Arabidopsis thaliana: one gene and its partners. The protein of the gene in region 1 interacts with the protein of each later gene in a pairwise test. Each region holds a gene or a part of one and is shown in the gene's direction. Other genes may lie near its edges.

Region 1 (5,759 bases):
GAAGGAGACGCATTTTTTTATAATCTTTTTGACCGAATCATTGTGGATACGCATGAGCTGTTTTGTTTAATTATTGTATTAAAATATGTATACATAGCCTTTAATGGTAATTAATATTGGTATATTTTAAGGGAACAAGACAAGATTAGGCTTAAATAATAAGATCAATTTTCTTTTCTTTATCCATTTCTTAAGTACTTTTATTGGTGTGTGTTTTTAATCGAGTGTCCATTGAGAAGACTCAAGTGACAAAGATGATTCACCAAGCAACTCCACATGTATGTCACAACATTTCATTAAATACTTTTCTCTTACTCCTATTTAATAATTACTCCTTAGATACATCTTTCTGACAACAATTATAAACTTTTTTAGAATTACTAAAATGAAACTACTGGCACAAATTGAAACCCCCGAAATTTTCATTTTTTATTTATAAAAAAAACTGTATAAACATTATGGTCAACAATAAATTATATACCAAATCTAGTTTTGGTTTGTTAACTATTTAATACCTAACTTATAACCAAAAAGCATGTCATTATCACTTTTAAACTCTTCATTTAATCTAATCGAATAAAATGTTTAAATAACTCCATCTTTTATGGAGTACATTTTATTTTTCTATTTCTATTCATTCATTCCGTGCTTTACACATCAACGTTGAAATTAAGAACCAAAATTTAATTTAAAAAATCACGTAATACAGTAAAACCTATCAATAAATGCATACGATGCGACTTGCCACTGAAAAGAGTTTGAACCATATTAATCTTATTTCTCCTTAACCGGATTCGGTTTACCATAGACCAAACCCAAAACCGGCTTCAACTAATTACACTCAATTCCTCGGGAGATTGTTAATTAAACAGTAAACAACCCTCTGACTCACTAGACTTCTGAATCTTTCACAAAAGAATACGTCTTTGTAGGCTTTTGCTTTCTACCGTTGCTTACAAGCTTCCTCTCCACCGGATTCTCCTTCAATTCTCCATCTTTATTTGTGTAATAAGAATCCAGAATTTGCAATAACGAGCTCTCTTTACCTTCTTTACTCATCATCTGTTGCTTCTTCTTCTCTGGGTTATCTCTCTCTGAACCAGAATCTTCTTCATCCTCTGAGAGTGATGGTTCATATACTGGAAGCTTTTTGGTCGTCGGGTGGGTAGTTGTTGTATCAGAAACTGGACCAAGTTCTGCGAATGCCAAGTCCGAATCATCTTCTTTTGACTTGGCATTTGGTGAAGGAGTTGAAGGAAAGATGTATCCAGATGCTATTCTCACTCCATGCATGACTCGAATCAGAGACTGCAGGTTGTCGTAACCGAGCTTGTCAACCGCTAAATGGTACCCATACTCCTCTAAGAAGTCTTTCCTGAAACGAATCAGGCTATACCCTTCAGGGTGTTCCTCTGTTATCTTCTTTATCATCTTCTGACAATCCGCTATTGCATTACTTTTGTATCTTTCCAGCTCTTTCCGGTCCACAGAACCAACAGAAACTCCAGCATGAGCAACGTTCTTGCCGCTTTTCTCACCATTTTGTTTCTGCCACTGTGATTTTGAAGAATCCGAGAAGATTGAGCTCAAACCGTTTGAAGCATGACGGTGGCCAGGGCTAGATCCTTTGATGATTCTGAATGGTAAAGAAGAAGATGGGGTTTCTTCAATCCATTTCTTTTCTGATATTAGCAAAGTAACTAAATGAAGCATGCTTGATTCATCGAGCAGTCTGAGACACGAAGGCCCTTCCTCCTGCACATTTTTAGCCATCACCTCCCTGACCAGGTTAAGACGGAACAGCATTAGCTGAATACTCGTCCCAAAAAAGACAACAAATGGCTAATGCAAGAACCAATTGTAATAGTTCTGAACCTAAGATAGATTTACATATTAATCAATATCTAATCAAAGTCCTGCCAAATCAGGAGGGAAGAGAATGTACGCACCTTGTCCTCGAGTGAGATACTATAGCAAAGCCTCTTGGAGAATTAATGAAAGATTCAATATCACTCCAAAAATACTCTTTTGCAAATATGTCTTGTACTTGAGAATCAACATTGACAAGCTCCTGATTCCCACTAGAGTCTTTGCTAGACTTTGTATTCTTTCCCCAGAACTTGAAACTCTTCAAAAGGCGACCTAAAAAGCCTGGACTTGCATCTTTATCTTTACTGTCTACGTCATCAGCTCCAACTTTTACCTCATCGACCGACTCAGCAACGAAAGAAGGTGAGATTTGAGACATGGGCACAGTTCCCTGACTCGATGACTTTAAGTCCTTATCCTCTTTATGTTTGTTTCCACTTCCCTGACTTGATGACTTTAAGTCATTATCCTCTCTATGTGTGTCTCCACTTCCAGAAACGCTCTTCATTTCTGGGAGATGCTCTAATTCCATCTCAGGTGAACCATACCACAGTCTTTTTAGCTTTTGAAAAAAGCCATCTTCCATGGACGAATCACTCCACGCAACAAGAGCGACTTGATTCGTCTCGACGGGTTTAACATTTGCCTTAACATCCTTCTGGCCGACCAGAATTGGGTCTTGAGAACTCTCTGATGATTCTTCTTTAACAATTTTATCACTCTCCAATACCTTTTCCTGCTTCTTTCCAAGTAAGCCATCTCTTCTTCTTTCAGCAGCAAGCTCTACATCGCTAATTAGCTTTGGTGATGGAGCATTAACAGTTTCCTTATCTTTAATCTTCTGATCAACAGCAGTAGACAAACGAGGACTAGAATCAAGCCGCATCGGAGGCTTCTTTTCGGTAACAGCCCGAATCATAAACAAGCCTTCACTTACTGTAGTAACCTGTAAGATATCTGGCATGGATAAAAGAAACTTCGAAAACTTCTTATGTCCATAGAAATCTTTATCAATAGCCAAGTTGCTCTTACTCAGCTCAGCACGTAGTTCTGTAATGGCAGCCCCCTTGGGATATAAACTCACTATCGAACGAATCTTATCAACAACTTCTTTTGGAATAGGACGAAGGTTAACAACAGCATTCGAATTCACAGACTCGGATAGTTCTTCGATTTTCACACTAGACGAAGATTGCTCAGTAGTGGTAGCAATAGCAAATGGATCAAGAAGAGGAATCCTATAGTGACCATACCAAGAGTTATAAGGACCATCAGGAGGCTGATTAAAATGCTTACCAGTAACACACTCTCCTTTAATCAAAGCATCCCAATCCCACATAATAGAAGCAGCACTACACAAAACACCAGGAGCTGATGATTTACTCGCAAGCAAAATGTTGTAATTGTTCATCCTCAATCTATGTAACACACTTGCAAACTCCTTATCACTAGAGATTAGCAAAAGATGAGCTGGTGGTGGATTCTGAGAAACCCAACACATAAGATCTGTGATTAGAGATCTATCAGCACTGTTCTTACCACCGTTAGGAACATGAGTGAGACTGATTCCTGTAGCGGAGAGAGCGTCTTGGTTTGATCTGGGGAGCTGTAAAACGTCACCGAAGGCTGTGATTGTGATTGGTCCTTTGATTCCGCTGTTTCTGATAGCGGCGGTGATTGATTGTGCTACTTTGTAGACATTGGTGTCTACAGGTAAGTTACAGCTCAGGAAGTCCCACCAGACCGAAACCCTAACGGATCGGGACTCTTCGTCTTGCTGAGGACGTCGAGAGGGAGAATGGCTGGATCCGGAGACGAAATTGGAGCCGGAGGTGGTTGTGGTGGAGAATGGAGAGGAATGAATGTTAGTGATGAAAAGGGTAATTGTTCGACGGTGAGATTGGGTTGTGGAGGAAGAAGAGAGGCGGAAGAGAAGGGATTTGGATGGTAAAGATCCAAACTTCATGGTCGGAGAGCTATTTTTGCTCCGGGAAATGGAGAGACTGAGAGGGTTTTAGGAGTGAGGAAGACGAAGTAAAGGAAAGCAGAGCTTAAACCCTAGTTATTATTTTGGAATTGTCGATAACCGAATGGTATCCCAATTGAACCAAACTAAACCGTACTCTCGCTAAACCAAAACCAAATAGCGTATGGTTTAATATTCTAATTCAATGAGTACAGTAATTAGGGATTTCAATTTTTGTTTGAGAGAGAGAGAGAGAGATGGTGACGAAGGAGCAAGTCGAAGCTTCATTGACTTCGAAACTTAAGCCAATTCATCTCGTGAGTGTTCTTATACTGCTTTCTTCTTTCAATTTCATCTATTGATTAGGGTTTGAAACTTTTGTGGGAAACTTTGAAACCCTAATCATCAAATTGATCTGGGAAAATTGCCAAATTTGAGATTTTTGACCTGCTCACTTTGATCAAAATCATACACTTTGATAGTTGGATCATAAGAGGTACTATGTATTGTAATAATCTCAGCATCTAGATTATACATCACTATGTGTTGTCTTTCAGCTCTGAAACAGAATATAAAAGGTGGTTGTTTGCGTAGTTAGGTGTAATTTGATGCAGTGTGATACTGAGCTCAGGATTTGATGACGTAGTGTTCCTGATGTATTAGCAACTTAGTAGTGAGTGTTCTTGTCGGAAAATTTTATTTGTGTCATGGTTTTTTGTGAACTAGAACTCAAAAAGCAGATCCAAGGATGTGTATAGTTTCTTTGCTTTATAACATGTGAAGATTGAAGTTACTTCAATGTCAATCTATTTCCCTTTTCACTTGATTCATGTGTTCCAATTGTTTCAATCTTTAGCTTTTAGAATTTTTTAGTGACATTGTTTGTTTTTGTGTGTACCAGGAAGTCATTGACATATCTGGAGGGTAAGTACCGGATTGTCAATACACATTTGATTCTCTGGCTTATGGCATAATTTCTTGTTCTTAATATCAGCAAAACTGTTTATTGCAGTTGTGGTTCGAGTTTTGAAGTGGAGGTTGTCTCTGAACAATTCGAAGGGAAGAGATTGCTGGAGAGGCATCGTATGGTGAATGCTGCGCTAGAAGAAGAAATGAAAGAGATTCATGCTCTCTCTATTAAGAAAGCTCAGACTCCACAACAATGGAAGCCACCATCACAAGACTCTGCAACCTTAACCAAAGATGCCTGAATTTCTGTTTTTTAAAAGCCTTGTGACAAAGAACAGAGCATTTACTATGTTGATACTTTGTGGTTACTGTACTCCGATTACTGCTTTTGATGAAGTGTAAACACTTTTTTAAAACATATGCAATTGGTTGCAAAATATAACAAAAATTGGGTTTTTCTCAATTTAGATGGAGATTTTTTTGAGAATTTTACCATGACACCATCTTAAAAAAGAAAAAAAAGACCAATGGGATTGGCTAAATTTTATAATAGAGTCAGTGCAGTGTATGGTGGGGGGGAGAGATAGATGCTAAAAGATGGATAAAATAACCAAAAAAAACTGTCCATTCTCCTCCCCATAAATCTATCTCTCTCTCTTTTTCCTCAAATCCCATCTTCTTCTTCTACTTCTTATTAAGCTCCATTGGGTTTAGAGATTCTGGTGTATAAACTGCTAATGACGAGTAACCTTTTCCAGCCACCATCAATGGCAGCTTCACGAGGAGCAATCTCGAGAAGAACAGGAAACGTGAAAGTATTAGTCTCTTTCACCAGTTCTAATGGCAAAACGCTGAGTTTTAGTGACAACTCATTTAGGCTCAGACCCATGTTCATCGGGAAAGTCACAGAACAGAGTTCTTGTTCCTCCCCAAATGAACAACAACAAGATGAAGAACAAGAACAAGAACAAGAAGAGATTACAGTTTCTCATATAAAAGAAGAGCTCTACGAAGC
Region 2 (6,378 bases), on another chromosome or scaffold:
CTGCAGTGGAGAAATCACTCATGTTCAAGGGTCCACATTGTTCATCTTACACATTACCAAAGTCTGCAAAAACTAGGGTTTGTTCCTTTCACATGCCTATGTCTGTTAGATGAACTACCTCTCGTGAAAAGAAAAAAAATATATTCCTCTACACTAAACACAAGAAAGAAGAAACCAACAAACACTTGTATTTACCACAAACAATTTTCAAAGATTTCATTTACGTATAAGTCAATTTTCCAAGTCCAAAGTTTAGGATAGATACGTAATCAAATAAATAATAGACAATGTATGTTATAAAAGTAGGAACTAGTACTTCTCTATCAAGTAACTAACTATACAAGCTCATCAAGTTTTTTTTTTCTTTAATGTAATTTGTTTATAGTTTATCAAGTTTTAGTTCTTATATATACTCAAATATGTACGTAAAGAAAAAATAATTCGAATGTACTGGATTTAATCATTGGGATGGTAAAGTTTCGAATGGAACACTACTGTACCCATATCTCTATATCCCTTTTTATGTACCTGCAACCCCACACACACATATATATATATAGTATGGGCATTTTAGTTCCAATCCGGCTAGAGATTCATTCTGATTATGTATAATATTTATAATGTTTCTAGTATTTAGAAATTTGATATTTCTGTGTAAAATTTCTTACACAATATTTTTTCTTATCATTAGATTTTGTAAGCAAATACAAACCTTAACTAGCTAGCTTAATACATTATTTTTGAGTTGTGTAGAAGAATTCCGAAATTCCACATATGTAAATGCCTAAAATAATTAAAAAGAAATAGATATTTAGATCATTCGCTCGGATACAGATTGGATACGAATATCTGAATTTTCTTAAGTGTTTGATTTGTACCAATCGTTAGTATTTACTCATACACGCATGGATGGACACAGACAACACTAGGAACTTGTACAAATGAGAGTACTTGCCAATTCTTTTAGTCAGTTTTATAATATAATTGTTTATAATTAAAATGAGTTATGTTTTGTGTGGTGCATGTATATAATATTTAATACATGTATGTGTGCATATATTTATGTATGTCAATGCAACAAAGATTTGGGCTTATAAATGAATGAAGAAAATGTTGGTGGGATATGGACAAAAACAAATTGGAGAAACAATGAAATAATTCGAACCCATGACGTTACAACTAGTCAAAAGTCCCCACATGATCTTATCAAACGTAGGTCCATGGATGAGTTGTTTTCGATATCATAAATTTCTCACGAATTTTGTTATATGGCCTTTAAGTGTAAAATGACAAAACTTGCCAAACAAATCATAGACCCAATGCAATTTAGATATCATTGGTGAATGGTTATAGTAAGTTTAATAGCTTTCAATTCAAAATCAATTGAAATGAATGGCTTGACTTATGTTACTTAGTTATTATTATTAATTTCATGATATTTCTTATGTGAGATTCGTAACATGTTTCTTCAAAATAATTCATCTTTCATCTCATCTTGTATGATATCATGATGAGTGAGATATGATTTGTTTTCAAGTCTTATAAAGCCTATTAGGCCCAGAACCACGAATACTTTTCAGAGAAGAAAACGCCCATTAGTAATAGTATAGGCCCATTAAGTATTAGAATAACAAAAATTCAGATTTTTTTTGTTGGTCACGAAAATTTAGCTTTTTAATTTAATAAAAGAAAAATGGGAAAAGAGGACAAGTCACGTCACGAGACAAATTAGCATAGCACGCAAAGAAGAAGAAGAAGAAGAAGCTCCAAGAATCTGTCGCAGAAATCGCCATGGCAGTCACAGCATTTAACACATTGAAACTTGTATCGTCGTCTCTAGATCCGATTCCTTCAGTCTCTTGTTCTTCTTATTCCTTCTCTCTGATATATGTCGGATCTCCTTACAAGAGATGTCTAAAGCAGTCATGTTCTGTTCGAGCTATGACTTCTTCTTCTTCGGCTGCATCGTCTTCTTCTTCGTCCTTTGGATCGAGAATGGAAGAGAGTATTAGGAAAACAGTGACTGAGAACACTGTCGTTATTTACTCCAAAACTTGGTGCTCGTATGTTCACTACTCTCTTTCGTTATCAGTTTTAATTAGGATTTGTTTTATTTCTTTCTTTTTGCTTAATTGGAGAATGGGTTTATCAAATATCCTTGTAAATTTTCGTTTTTACTGTTATTCAGATCTTAATGTTTCTGTTGATAATTTGTTGGTGTTTGGTGTGTATTGAAGATACTGTACTGAAGTGAAGACATTGTTCAAGAGACTTGGGGTTCAGCCACTGGTTGTTGAATTGGATCAACTTGGTATGTTTGCATTTCCTTAACATTTCTATCTTTTTTTTCCATAGCTTAGCTTGAGTAATTGATTTGATCATGATAATACTATATCATGGCTTTAGATAGATGATGAGGTAATGCTTGTTAGTTTTTAAAAGTATCCATTAGTATTGCCTTTAACCTTTAGATTTTGGTTACATATGCATATTACTATTCTAGTTTATGTTGTGGCATTTAGACTCGTTGAAAGAATGCAAGTCTTGTTTACCTTCTGAGTGATTTAGTTTTTCAGATTCGAATGAGTTTACATGTTTATCTTTAACTTTTCTTTCTGGACCATTGGGTTGAAAATGTACATTTTGGGGATTCTTGTTTGCCTTTGATATTTGTTGTAACCTGCTTTTGTTTCTCACTAGTCCATACTTGTATATATCATAAAAGTAAATGTGTCTCTCTCTTTGAGAACAGTTGAAGATGCAATTGTCAAAATGTTTGGTGATTTTGGACAACAAAGAATGATTTGTTATGTTCTATCTAAAGTTCTGTTTGACTAAACTATGTTTGGTTAATTTCAGGTCCACAAGGGCCACAACTGCAGAAGGTACTGGAAAGACTTACTGGGCAACACACTGTTCCTAATGTTTTCGTATGTAAGTAGTTTAATCCGTTTACATCGATCATATCTTCATTGAAACTCTGTTTTCCTTATATATCCTACCTGCTTCAAAAGATGAAACCTTTAGATGTCCCAAAGAAGTGAACAACATAGTTTCAGTTAATAGCTAGTCATAACAGTGTCTAATCTTTGTCCTAATGAGCAGGTGGCAAGCACATTGGTGGCTGCACAGGTACTTTCCTCCTTCTCTTCTCACCTCTTTGGTTTCTTCTACTTCTCAAATGTGAGATGCCTCAGTTTTGGATATTGTTTCACTCAACTATTGGCATTATCTTCTTGTTCTTGTGCTACAGATACAGTGAAGCTTAACAGGAAAGGAGATCTGGAACTGATGTTAGCTGAAGCCAACGGTAAAAACGGTCAGAGTTGAGGAGATGTTGAAACTGGTTCGGAGATTTTTGCATACGGAGCTTGGAAAGTTTTCTCATTTTTGTTATTATCATTGTACCTCATTTGAATACAATAATTATAGTTAATAAATAACATATACATATCATGTAATTGTTGATCTCTCTTTGTTTTTCACCACTTGAATTCACAGTTTTCAAGCCTTCAGAGTAATCCAAATATTACCAATCCCAGGCTGATAAATAAAGAAGGAAAAAAGTGGCCTAATATATATTCTAGAAAATCCAAAATCAGAGAGAAGCGTGGCAAGTTTAGGATCACAGGTCAATAGAGTGAAAAATGATCCCAAACTGAAAAGAGATGTCATCTTCTGAAACAGGGGAAGTTGCAGAGAATCTAGCGAGACCAATGGCTACTCTGGTCTCGTCTCAAACTTACATCTACCATTGTCATATTAGTAAACAAGCTCTTTATCAGGCAAAAGAATCATACTCTCATCGTAGAATTTCCCGTCATAATCACAGAGAAAGACTCGATTTTTCTCATAGAAACCATAGATTGACAATAACTAGAAAGCAGCAACCTTTGTCTTTCAACACCGTGTGTTTTGCCGCAGACGAGCCCTCCGAAATCAGGTAAACTTCGACTTCTTCTAACCTTATTAAATTGGGGTTCGTCTTTAGATTTGAATGAATTATGGTTTAGGTTCTATCTGTGTCGTTGTTGAATCAATTTTAGTACTTGGTAGGTTTATGCTCATTGACATGATGAAAGGTTAAAACTTTGAATGCAAGAATGTTATCTCACACCTTGTGTAATGTCACAGCTAAGTTATCTCTGTTTATGGTTTCAGTGCTGATGCTAGAATCCGTAGTGAGGTTCTGTCTCCGTTCAGATCAGTCCGTATGTTCTTCTACCTCGCCTTTATAGCAAGCGGTTCATTAGGAGGACTAATAGCCACTTCTAGGCTCATAGGTGCCCTGGCGAATCCGGCTAGATCAGGTGAAGTTCTTGAGATCGTTAAGGGTTTGGGAGTTGACATTGGTGCTGCTTCTCTCTTTGCGTTCCTATACTTCAACGAAAACAAGACCAAGAACGCGCAAATGGCTAGGCTCTCGAGGGAAGAGAATCTTGGCAAACTCAAAATGAGAGTCGAAGAGAACAATAAGGTAATCTCCGTAGGTGATCTGAGAGGGGTTGCTAGGCTTGTGATCTGTGCTGGTCCTGCGGAGTTTATTGAAGAAGCGTTTAAGAGAAGTAAAGAGTATACACAAGGGCTCGTGGAGAGAGGTGTGGTTGTGGTGGCTTATGCTACGGATGGGAATTCACCGGTTTTGGAGTTTGATGAAACTGACATTGCGGATGAAGAAATGAGCCAGAGAAGGAAGAAACTGTGGCGGGTGACTCCGGTTTTTGTCCCGGAATGGGAAAAGTAAGAATCTTTCCTTAAAGATAGTGAAACCCGAGTTGAAAAAATCGAATTTGAGAGTGTTCATATTTTTTGTTGCGTGAACAGGTGGTTAAATGAGCAGAAGAAGCTTGCCAATGTTTCCTCAGACTCTCCAGTGTAAGTAGTTCTTTGCATTTGCTCTGAAACCGGTTTAAACTGAATATTGCACCGGTTCTTGAGCTGAATATGAGTGTTTTTGCGTAAAGACAATCGATTTAAACCGCGTTTTGCAATCGGTGATACGGAATTGTTGTTGATATTAGGTATTTGTCTCTGCGTTTGGATGGGCGTGTAAGGGCAAGTGGAGTGGGTTATCCTCCATGGCAAGCCTTCGTTGCACAGCTTCCTCCGGTTAAGGGAATGTGGACCGGTCTTCTTGACGGTATGGATGGTAGAGTGTAAATACTCTAATACTTAGGGATAAAGTCATATGTTTTTTAGTCTCCTATAAATTTTATAAAATGTATAGTTATGAAAAGATTTTGACTTCAAAATTATTATTTTCACTTCGTGGTTAGTCCGAATGAATGAATTCAGAAGCAAAGTGTTTGTGTTTAGTTTTTAAGGTGTTTACCAAGGGAAATTGTACCGGTTTCAGAATGAATATGAAGACGGTTAAGAGAGCTAACCATGAGTAGAAAGAGACTTTTAACTGAATTTTCCAAACACATTCTGTGAAAGAATAAGAAAACCGGCTCGAGATTCAGATGAGGAGAAATAATTGGTAAACTTTTGCGGTACATACGGTTTGGGTCAAGTTACAAACGGATAAACCGGTATAGAATACACAGAGTTTTTGAATTCTCCCATTTAAGCTGCAACTTCTTCGACCTCATCCAATGCATAGTTGTTGGTCGATATGTTGGCGTAATTGACTTTTGCGAACCGGACCACAACCGGGTATCGAGTCTTAGGGTCCTGCACAATTTATAACCCTGGTCAAGAAACTAAACAAAACCGGCATGGTGAAAGATATTCATACGACCGTTAGATCGTTGATTGGAGACTAAATGCGTTACCTGATCAACGGCAACAACTGATCCAACGTTCTTGAACCAATAGGATTCTCTCCTTAGAATCTTGACCTACGAATCCCAACAATTTATATCAAGATAAGAAACGATTGATTATGAACAAAATATGTGGTTACAAGTCACACACACATAAACATGCAATTAGATTTGAACCATGTTATGAACATAAGATGTGGTGAAATTTAATTTTTTGTCACTAATTATACAATTTTTGCATAGCGATTAACTGATTATGAACAAAAATTACAAGTTCACAATTAACGATTCCTACTAGCTAGCTAGTTACGTTGTGTAATTGGCAGATTCATTTTGTCATTTCACCATTCTGCAGATTTACCAATAAGAACTCAAATAAAATTTGCTCATATACATGAATGCATCCATCGATAAGTAACTTTGGCTTATGCGTATATATATACAAGCTAATGGAATTTAAGACGGTTTAGGTTAGCTGACCTTAGACCCTCTCTTAGGACCAATCGGTGGTGGCTTGGGTTTGGTGGCAGTAGCTCCATCCGGAGCAGCGGCAGCTGCCGGAGAATCTTTTGAAGAAGAGGAAGCCGGAGCAGGATCTTCGGCTGCCCTG
Region 3 (6,512 bases), on another chromosome or scaffold:
ATAGTTAATACGTCACGGAACATGTACCGACCGACGGCCGATTTCCATGATACAATAAAAAAATGAAAATTAGCAATCTCATAACATGCGACGACGATACTTATGGTGTTGCCACGTAGCAAGCATCTTCCTCTTAACCATGAGGTGTCGCAACCTCAGAGGACAACACGGACAAGACCGAGAAACCGCATACTAACGCTTGCAACGTAAAGCACAACACCCCTAAACTCCTATTTTTTTAATTTTCTTTTAACCTCAACACACCACGCAGCTATACACGTTTCAATGTGCTAATACGTGTCTTCTTCTCCGCCGACCAAGACACACTACAAATGTCCCGATGGTTTGGGGAGACAAATCACAGTTTCTACTACAACAACAAATACTTTTACGAAAAAAGCTTTTAAAACTTATCTAGTTTCGTTTGATACACATTTGAAGAAAGAAATGGCATCCAACCAACAGAGCTACAAAGCTGGTGAGACCAGAGGCAAGGCCCAGGTAATAAGAATATATTTTTGTGTATGTGTATACGTAAAACCACATTATATAAGCTCTAAGATGATTTGTCTGTGTAATACCAGGAGAAGACTGGACAAGCTATGGGAACGATGAGGGACAAGGCTGAGGAGGGCCGGGACAAGACTTCTCAAACGGCCCAAACAGCCCAACAGAAGGCCCATGAGACAGCCCAGTCAGCTAAAGATAAGACATCTCAAACTGCCCAAGCGGCTCAGCAGAAGGCCCATGAAACGGCCCAGTCAGCAAAAGAGAAGACATCTCAAACTGCCCAAACGGCACAGCAAAAGGCCCATGAGACGACGCAAGCAGCAAAAGAAAAGACATCTCAAGCTGGCGACAAAGCTCGCGAGGCCAAGGACAAGGCCGGGAGCTACTTATCGGAGACAGGCGAAGCCATAAAGAACAAGGCTCAAGACGCTGCTCAGTATACAAAGGAGACGGCTCAAGGTGCGGCACAGTACACAAAGGAGACGGCTGAAGCCGGTAGAGACAAGACGGGTGGATTCTTGAGCCAGACTGGTGAGCATGTTAAGCAAATGGCAATGGGTGCAGCTGATGCAGTGAAGCATACTTTTGGGATGGCTACTGAGGAAGAAGACAAAGAGCATTATCCAGGAAGTACTACTACCACTACTGCAACTACTCGAACCACTGATCCGACTCATCAGACTTATCAGAGGAAGTGATGAGAAAACAAAATTGAGAACGATATGAAAGTATCTTTGTGTTAGTTGGTCTTTTGAGTTTTGTGTTTGTGTTTTTGTAATTTCCGTTGTGTCTTTCTTTATGGTTGTGGTTCAGCTGTGTTTCTTGTTGTGACGGTGATCCTGGAGACTTCTAATTTCCAGCCAATAAGTTTAGATTTGATCCTGTTACAACTTATGTGTTCTCAAATTTCTATTTTTGTTACAATAAACAGTTATTAATACACATCATGGTCCACTTCGTATGTTGGTCATCAAGCATTAGCATTATACAGATATAGCTGCTAATCCAAACGGGTTTTACTAATCTTTCAATTTCTTTTATCAAAAATTTCAATAAAACATTTGTGTCTGCTTTTACGTTTTACGAATCGTTCAATTTCATAGATCTACTAAAATGAGAGAAGTAAACCAAAAAAATTGAATAGTAATTTATCTAAACCGAGCAAACCAAATAAATTTATCAAGACGTCAACGGACGTATACTTTGGTGACCATCCGAAACGACATCGTATAACATCTTAGGGTTATGAGTAATGACACGACGTCGTTCTCTGGGTCGGTCACTGGAGATGAAGAGAAGCGGTCGCGACATTGTAAAGATCTCTAGCTCCGTCCTTCTTCCTCGTAGCTACCCTCTCTAATCTTTTTTTCTCATTCCTGTTCTTGATAGTTTTCTAGACAGATTTCGATTAAACAAAACCGCGGAACACTTTGAAGAAATCTGCGTGATTTAGAGATGGCGGCTTCTTTATCGAGCAGACTTATAAAAGGAATCGCTAATCTCAAAGCTGTTCGTTCTAGCAGATTGGTTAGATTCTCTCATAACCCTTTTACTCAATTTTGATGTATCTAATGTTTGCTCAATAAAGTTTTCTCTTTTCCCATCTTGAATCACTTAAAAATTGCTCCTTTATATAACATTTGAGGTTCTGATTCTTTTGTTAGTTGAACCGGATTAGATAGTTACGTGAGCGTATGGTTTTGAATTATGTGAAAATGAATTTGTTTCCAATAGAAGATGGTATTGATGATCATTTGATAGTTGAATTTAACATGGAGAAGAATGATGTGGTTTTTGTTTGCAGACGTCTGCATCAGTCTACCAAAATGGGATGATGAGATTTTCCTCAACAGTGCCAAGTGATTCAGATACACATGATGATTTCAAGCCTACACAAAAAGTCCCTCCCGATTCTACGGACTCACTTAAAGATATCGTTGAGAATGTACACTCCAGCTTCTCTAGATTTGAAGTTGAATGTTTCTTTGTTAGGTGTTTGCTAATGCTGTTTTAGCTTTGGTGGTTGTGTAGGATGTGAAGGATAATCCTGTTATGATCTACATGAAAGGTGTCCCTGAATCTCCTCAGTGTGGGTTTAGCTCACTAGCCGTCAGAGTTTTGCAGCAATATAGTAAGTTTTGTTGAAATGTTGATTGAAACTGAAGAAGCCTTCTGTGAATTTTCTTTACTATTGGCGTTAGGCTCTGTGTTCTGATCTACTATCTTGTGATATCCTTCTTTAGATGTTCCTATCAGTTCTAGAAACATTCTAGAAGACCAAGAGTTGAAAAACGCTGTGAAATCCTTCAGGTGAGTATGTGGACACTTAATGAAAGTTTCATACAGAGAGTTGTATAATCTCATTCTCAAAGTTTTTTCATAAAGTTTGGCTTTGTTATTGAAGTTCGTTACCGTTCATTCCTTAATCTTTGACCTATATGATCTAGACCTCCCTTTGATTTTCAAGTCTTTATTTCTTTGCAGCCACTGGCCTACGTTTCCACAGATCTTCATTAAGGGAGAGTTCATTGGCGGCTCAGACATCATCCTTAACATGCACAAGGTTAGTTCCACTTAAAGCAGACCCTGTTTGACTTTTTTTTCCCCCGTTTCCATTGTGTTTGTTTAATCACAAGTCTCTTTTACTATTCTAGGAAGGTGAATTGGAGCAGAAGCTTAAAGACGTCTCCGGAAACCAAGATTGATCCAAAGTTTGGAAGTTATGCTGACGAGTGGAAGTTATTATGTTTTTGTTCTTTCTTTTCATAAGAATGTCTTTTCATGTACGGTAAAATAATGTCTCAGAAACTCAAAAATCTTTGGATTTCGTATGAATAAAAACTTTGGTAAACTAAGATAGCAAAATCAAAGAAGCCCAACGAGCCTTATTTATTTATTTTATTATTCATAATCAAGAATCGAACAGTAGAAAAGCATGAATAAATCACAAAACAGTAGAAACATGAGAGAACACCGTATACCCCAAGAAACCCCCCACCCCTTATATATATAATATAAATATTCTACACCATCGTATAATAGCTATAGAGATGCTGAGAAGATGCTTGTAAAGTTTAACGCGAACCCTCGAGACCAAGCCTTGAGACGAGCCAGTGAACCACCTCATCCATTTCTTTAGGAACCGTATAGTGACCAAGCCTACACAATCACATTAAAACCTCACAATCTCAGACTAAAACAACTAGATTGATAATGATAACTTTGGGATATAGGTTGAACAGTTACCCTTCATATGGTTTGAACATAGTTTGTCGGAATCCAGCCATGGCAAGTGAATGAGCAGATTTTTCTCCAAATCTATAAGGAACTACATCGTCCGCTGCAACCAAAAAACACATAAAGTGAATAAAATTCTAGATTCTCTTCGGTGATTTTATCTTGAAACAGTAAATCATATAATGATATATGTAAACATACAAGTTCCATGTGCAAGTAAGATCGGTATCGATGCAGCGCGCCTTGCAACCTCATTCGAACTTTCTATTTTGCTCCTTAAGCTCCTGCATTGTTATGTTTAAGCTTTCAATGTTAAGTCTCTGTGTTAACAAGTGACAAGAAAGGGTTGAAGACATATATTTATACCTCCAACCAGGAAGCCAACCGCTAAGTCCTACAGTAGCTCGTAGGTTTATAGTATAAGCATGTCCGGTTCCATAACGTCCAAGAGCGTAGCACGTCGTGGAGTAGAGAGCTATTGCTGCACCCATACTGAAACCTCCTATCCCAACTTTGACTGACACAAACCACAAATAACATTTTCAAGTTAAGCTAGAGATTATGATATATTATATCAAGACCTGTGACAAAGGAATGAAGATATATATAACTCATGGTTGGCTTACCATCTGTTGGCTCAGCAGATAATAGGTTAGCAATATGTGCAGCTGAAGCATCTAAGCCTTCTATATCATCATGAAGATCCTCAGAAATTTCTCCCACGTCAAACCCTGAGAGGAGCAAAGAAATTGGTTTTATTGGCAAACGCTTAAAATAATGTTTTGATGAAGTCTAGAGAAGCTAACTGAATGATCTTACAGGCAGTGCAAGGAAATCCACCGAGAAGCGAAACAGGACGCGAAGGAGCAGTTGGACAAATCCATTTGATCTGACAGAATACCATATATCTTTTATCAGAACCTTCACTAAGAATATTTAGTGATACAAAAAATTACTTCCAAGTTTGTTTCCATGGATCCTTACGTTTGGAAGAGGTAGGCTTTCCAATAGCTGAGACGAGCTGCAGAAAGAAACAGAGCCAAAGTGAGAAGTTGTTATCAAAGAACACGCCAAAATTCTACTTTCTAAAGCTCATTTTATTTGTAGTAGTCAATTAAACCAAAAAGTTAAAGCTTTTCATAACACATTTATACTTGAAACTGTTCAACTAACAGAGGAAAAGTGTTAAGTTTTGTCCTAAGAAGAGTTTGTTTTGATATCTATTAAAGTCATTTAGGCATTGTTTTGACAAGTATGACTTTAAGCTTTCAAAGCATAAAACTTTCTTTATTACTTGATTTTGTTCATAAAAACAAGGCAAGTGAGATAGTATTATAATACCTGGAGCCATTGTCTCCAAGACCGTGCAACCAAACAATAGTAGCTTGGTGCTTTCCTTTAGGCCTCACAACATAAGTCCTTCCAAACTCATAGCCCCTTGTACTTCTACTACCTACAAAAGATTTTGCCAGAAACATATATAAAGCAGAGTAATCACATAAGCACACAAGTGACACACTTAAGATAATACTAACATGAACCAAACAAGTAAGTGAGAAACAAACCAGAACCCATGCTTTGACGAGAATAGCTCATTGTTGTTGTTCAATGATCTTTTTTCACCACAATTTAGAGACTTTGTTGTGATATAGTAGTTAAAAGTTTGAAATACCAATGGAAAATATAAGAGAAGGTAAGGGAGGGGAAATGTGTATTTATAGAGCAAATTTGGAGGTGTGATGGTGAGAGGAAGGAATAAAAGAAAAGAAATGTGAATCTGAATCATTCACTATGGGATGTTAAATGTGTACAACAGCTACACAAAAAAAAAAACTATACTAGTCGTAGTCTAAGAGAAGGCATCCATGGAAAGAGACAATCAATTTTCTTCTCTTTTTCTCGTTATAAAAACAAAAGAAATAAATCTTTTTGGGAACACAAGGAATCAAAATCAAAACCAGAGCAGAGCTAGCGGCAAAACTACACAGAGGAGAGAGAGAGAAAGAGAGAATCAATGCCTTGTGGCAGTGGAGGAAAATAAAAACTCTACCGCGTAAAAGAATATATTATAGCATAACACAAGTATGTATATATATTACAAGAAACATGAGGGCATAATCCAAAATTGAAAAAGAAAGAAAAAATCTACTTGTTCAATCATTTGTTTAATGAAATATATATGAAAAACAAAAGTGAGATGATTGATGGATACCCATTAACCAGAAAGCTTAAAAAGTCTGAAACTTTACGAGAAAAAATAAAAGATTTAAAAATTTGCATTACACAATGTACAAAGGAAAAGGAATTACATATTTTATTTTAGGGTTCTTGGATTTGAGAAATCTGAGAGCACTGAGTGTAATGATGATGCGTAAGAAACATAAGTGACCAAGCTGGATTTTCATGTGGAGCATGCAGCAATAAACCAAAAAAGACTTTGATCTTTTCTCTATCTCCTTTCAACGCTTCTTTCATTACTCTGCCCTCTCTTGTTTGCCACTGTTGCTTTTTGTCCAGCAAAATTGGCTGACGATATCAAGCCCACTTATTTCACCTATTTCTCATTTTCTTCATGGTATATAGATTTTAAAAAAATGTACTGCGATTATTAGAGTATGTTTTAAAGCATCTGATAAGATGTAAATTTGCATGAAATTATTTGACCAGATCATCTAGTCTACTATTTTGCATTAATGTAGTTGTTGTGTTCAAATTATAGAAATAAAGAGACGAATATCAAGTGAACACTGAACAACGAACATGGT

The links. The genes of interacting proteins can lie anywhere in the genome.
Region 2: the proteins of AT5G09830 (region 1) and GrxC5 interact in a two-hybrid assay, tested with the Arabidopsis thaliana proteins (one study listed by BioGRID).
Region 3: the proteins of AT5G09830 (region 1) and GRX4 interact in a two-hybrid assay, tested with the Arabidopsis thaliana proteins (2 studies listed by BioGRID).

The regions. Positions count from the first base shown.
Region 1 is NC_003076.8:3,057,103-3,062,861, reverse strand, and holds AT5G09830 (BolA-like family protein), read left to right. Parts: upstream 1-4,036; 5' UTR 4,037-4,092; coding exon 4,093-4,152; intron 4,153-4,736; coding exon 4,737-4,759; intron 4,760-4,847; coding exon 4,848-5,046; 3' UTR 5,047-5,259; downstream 5,260-5,759. Other genes in the region: AT5G09840 (Putative endonuclease or glycosyl hydrolase), read right to left, coding at 892-1,780, 1,950-3,835; AT5G09820 (Plastid-lipid associated protein PAP / fibrillin family protein), read left to right, coding at 5,482-5,759. UniProt on the Arabidopsis thaliana protein: May act either alone or in interaction with glutaredoxin as a redox-regulated transcriptional regulator, or as a factor regulating Fe-S cluster biogenesis. The GRXS17-BOLA2 heterodimer binds a labile, oxygen sensitive iron-sulfur cluster.
Region 2 is NC_003075.7:14,197,383-14,203,760, forward strand, and holds GrxC5 (Glutaredoxin family protein), read left to right. Parts: upstream 1-1,660; 5' UTR 1,661-1,791; coding exon 1,792-2,063; intron 2,064-2,237; coding exon 2,238-2,311; intron 2,312-2,859; coding exon 2,860-2,934; coding exon of another isoform or gene 2,935-2,942; exon of another isoform or gene 2,943-3,105; coding exon 3,106-3,132; intron 3,133-3,253; coding exon 3,254-3,330; 3' UTR 3,331-3,521; downstream 3,522-6,378. Other genes in the region: AT4G28740 (LOW PSII ACCUMULATION-like protein), read left to right, coding at 3,669-3,943, 4,162-4,740, 4,825-4,875, 5,022-5,160; PSAE-1 (Photosystem I reaction centre subunit IV / PsaE protein), read right to left, coding at 5,569-5,676, 5,778-5,843, 6,249-6,378. UniProt on the Arabidopsis thaliana protein: Has a glutathione-disulfide oxidoreductase activity in the presence of NADPH and glutathione reductase. Reduces low molecular weight disulfides and proteins. Can assemble a [2Fe-2S] cluster, but cannot transfer it to an apoferredoxin.
Region 3 is NC_003074.8:5,304,837-5,311,348, reverse strand, and holds GRX4 (glutaredoxin 4), read left to right. Parts: upstream 1-1,724; 5' UTR 1,725-1,965; coding exon 1,966-2,037; intron 2,038-2,314; coding exon 2,315-2,455; intron 2,456-2,541; coding exon 2,542-2,641; intron 2,642-2,753; coding exon 2,754-2,820; intron 2,821-2,994; coding exon 2,995-3,073; intron 3,074-3,164; coding exon 3,165-3,215; 3' UTR 3,216-3,584; downstream 3,585-6,512. Other genes in the region: AT3G15670 (Late embryogenesis abundant protein (LEA) family protein), read left to right, coding at 448-501, 585-1,208; AT3G15650 (alpha/beta-Hydrolases superfamily protein), read right to left, coding at 3,585-3,669, 3,757-3,850, 3,949-4,031, 4,114-4,264, 4,374-4,478, 4,567-4,636, 4,732-4,825, 5,089-5,200 and 1 more.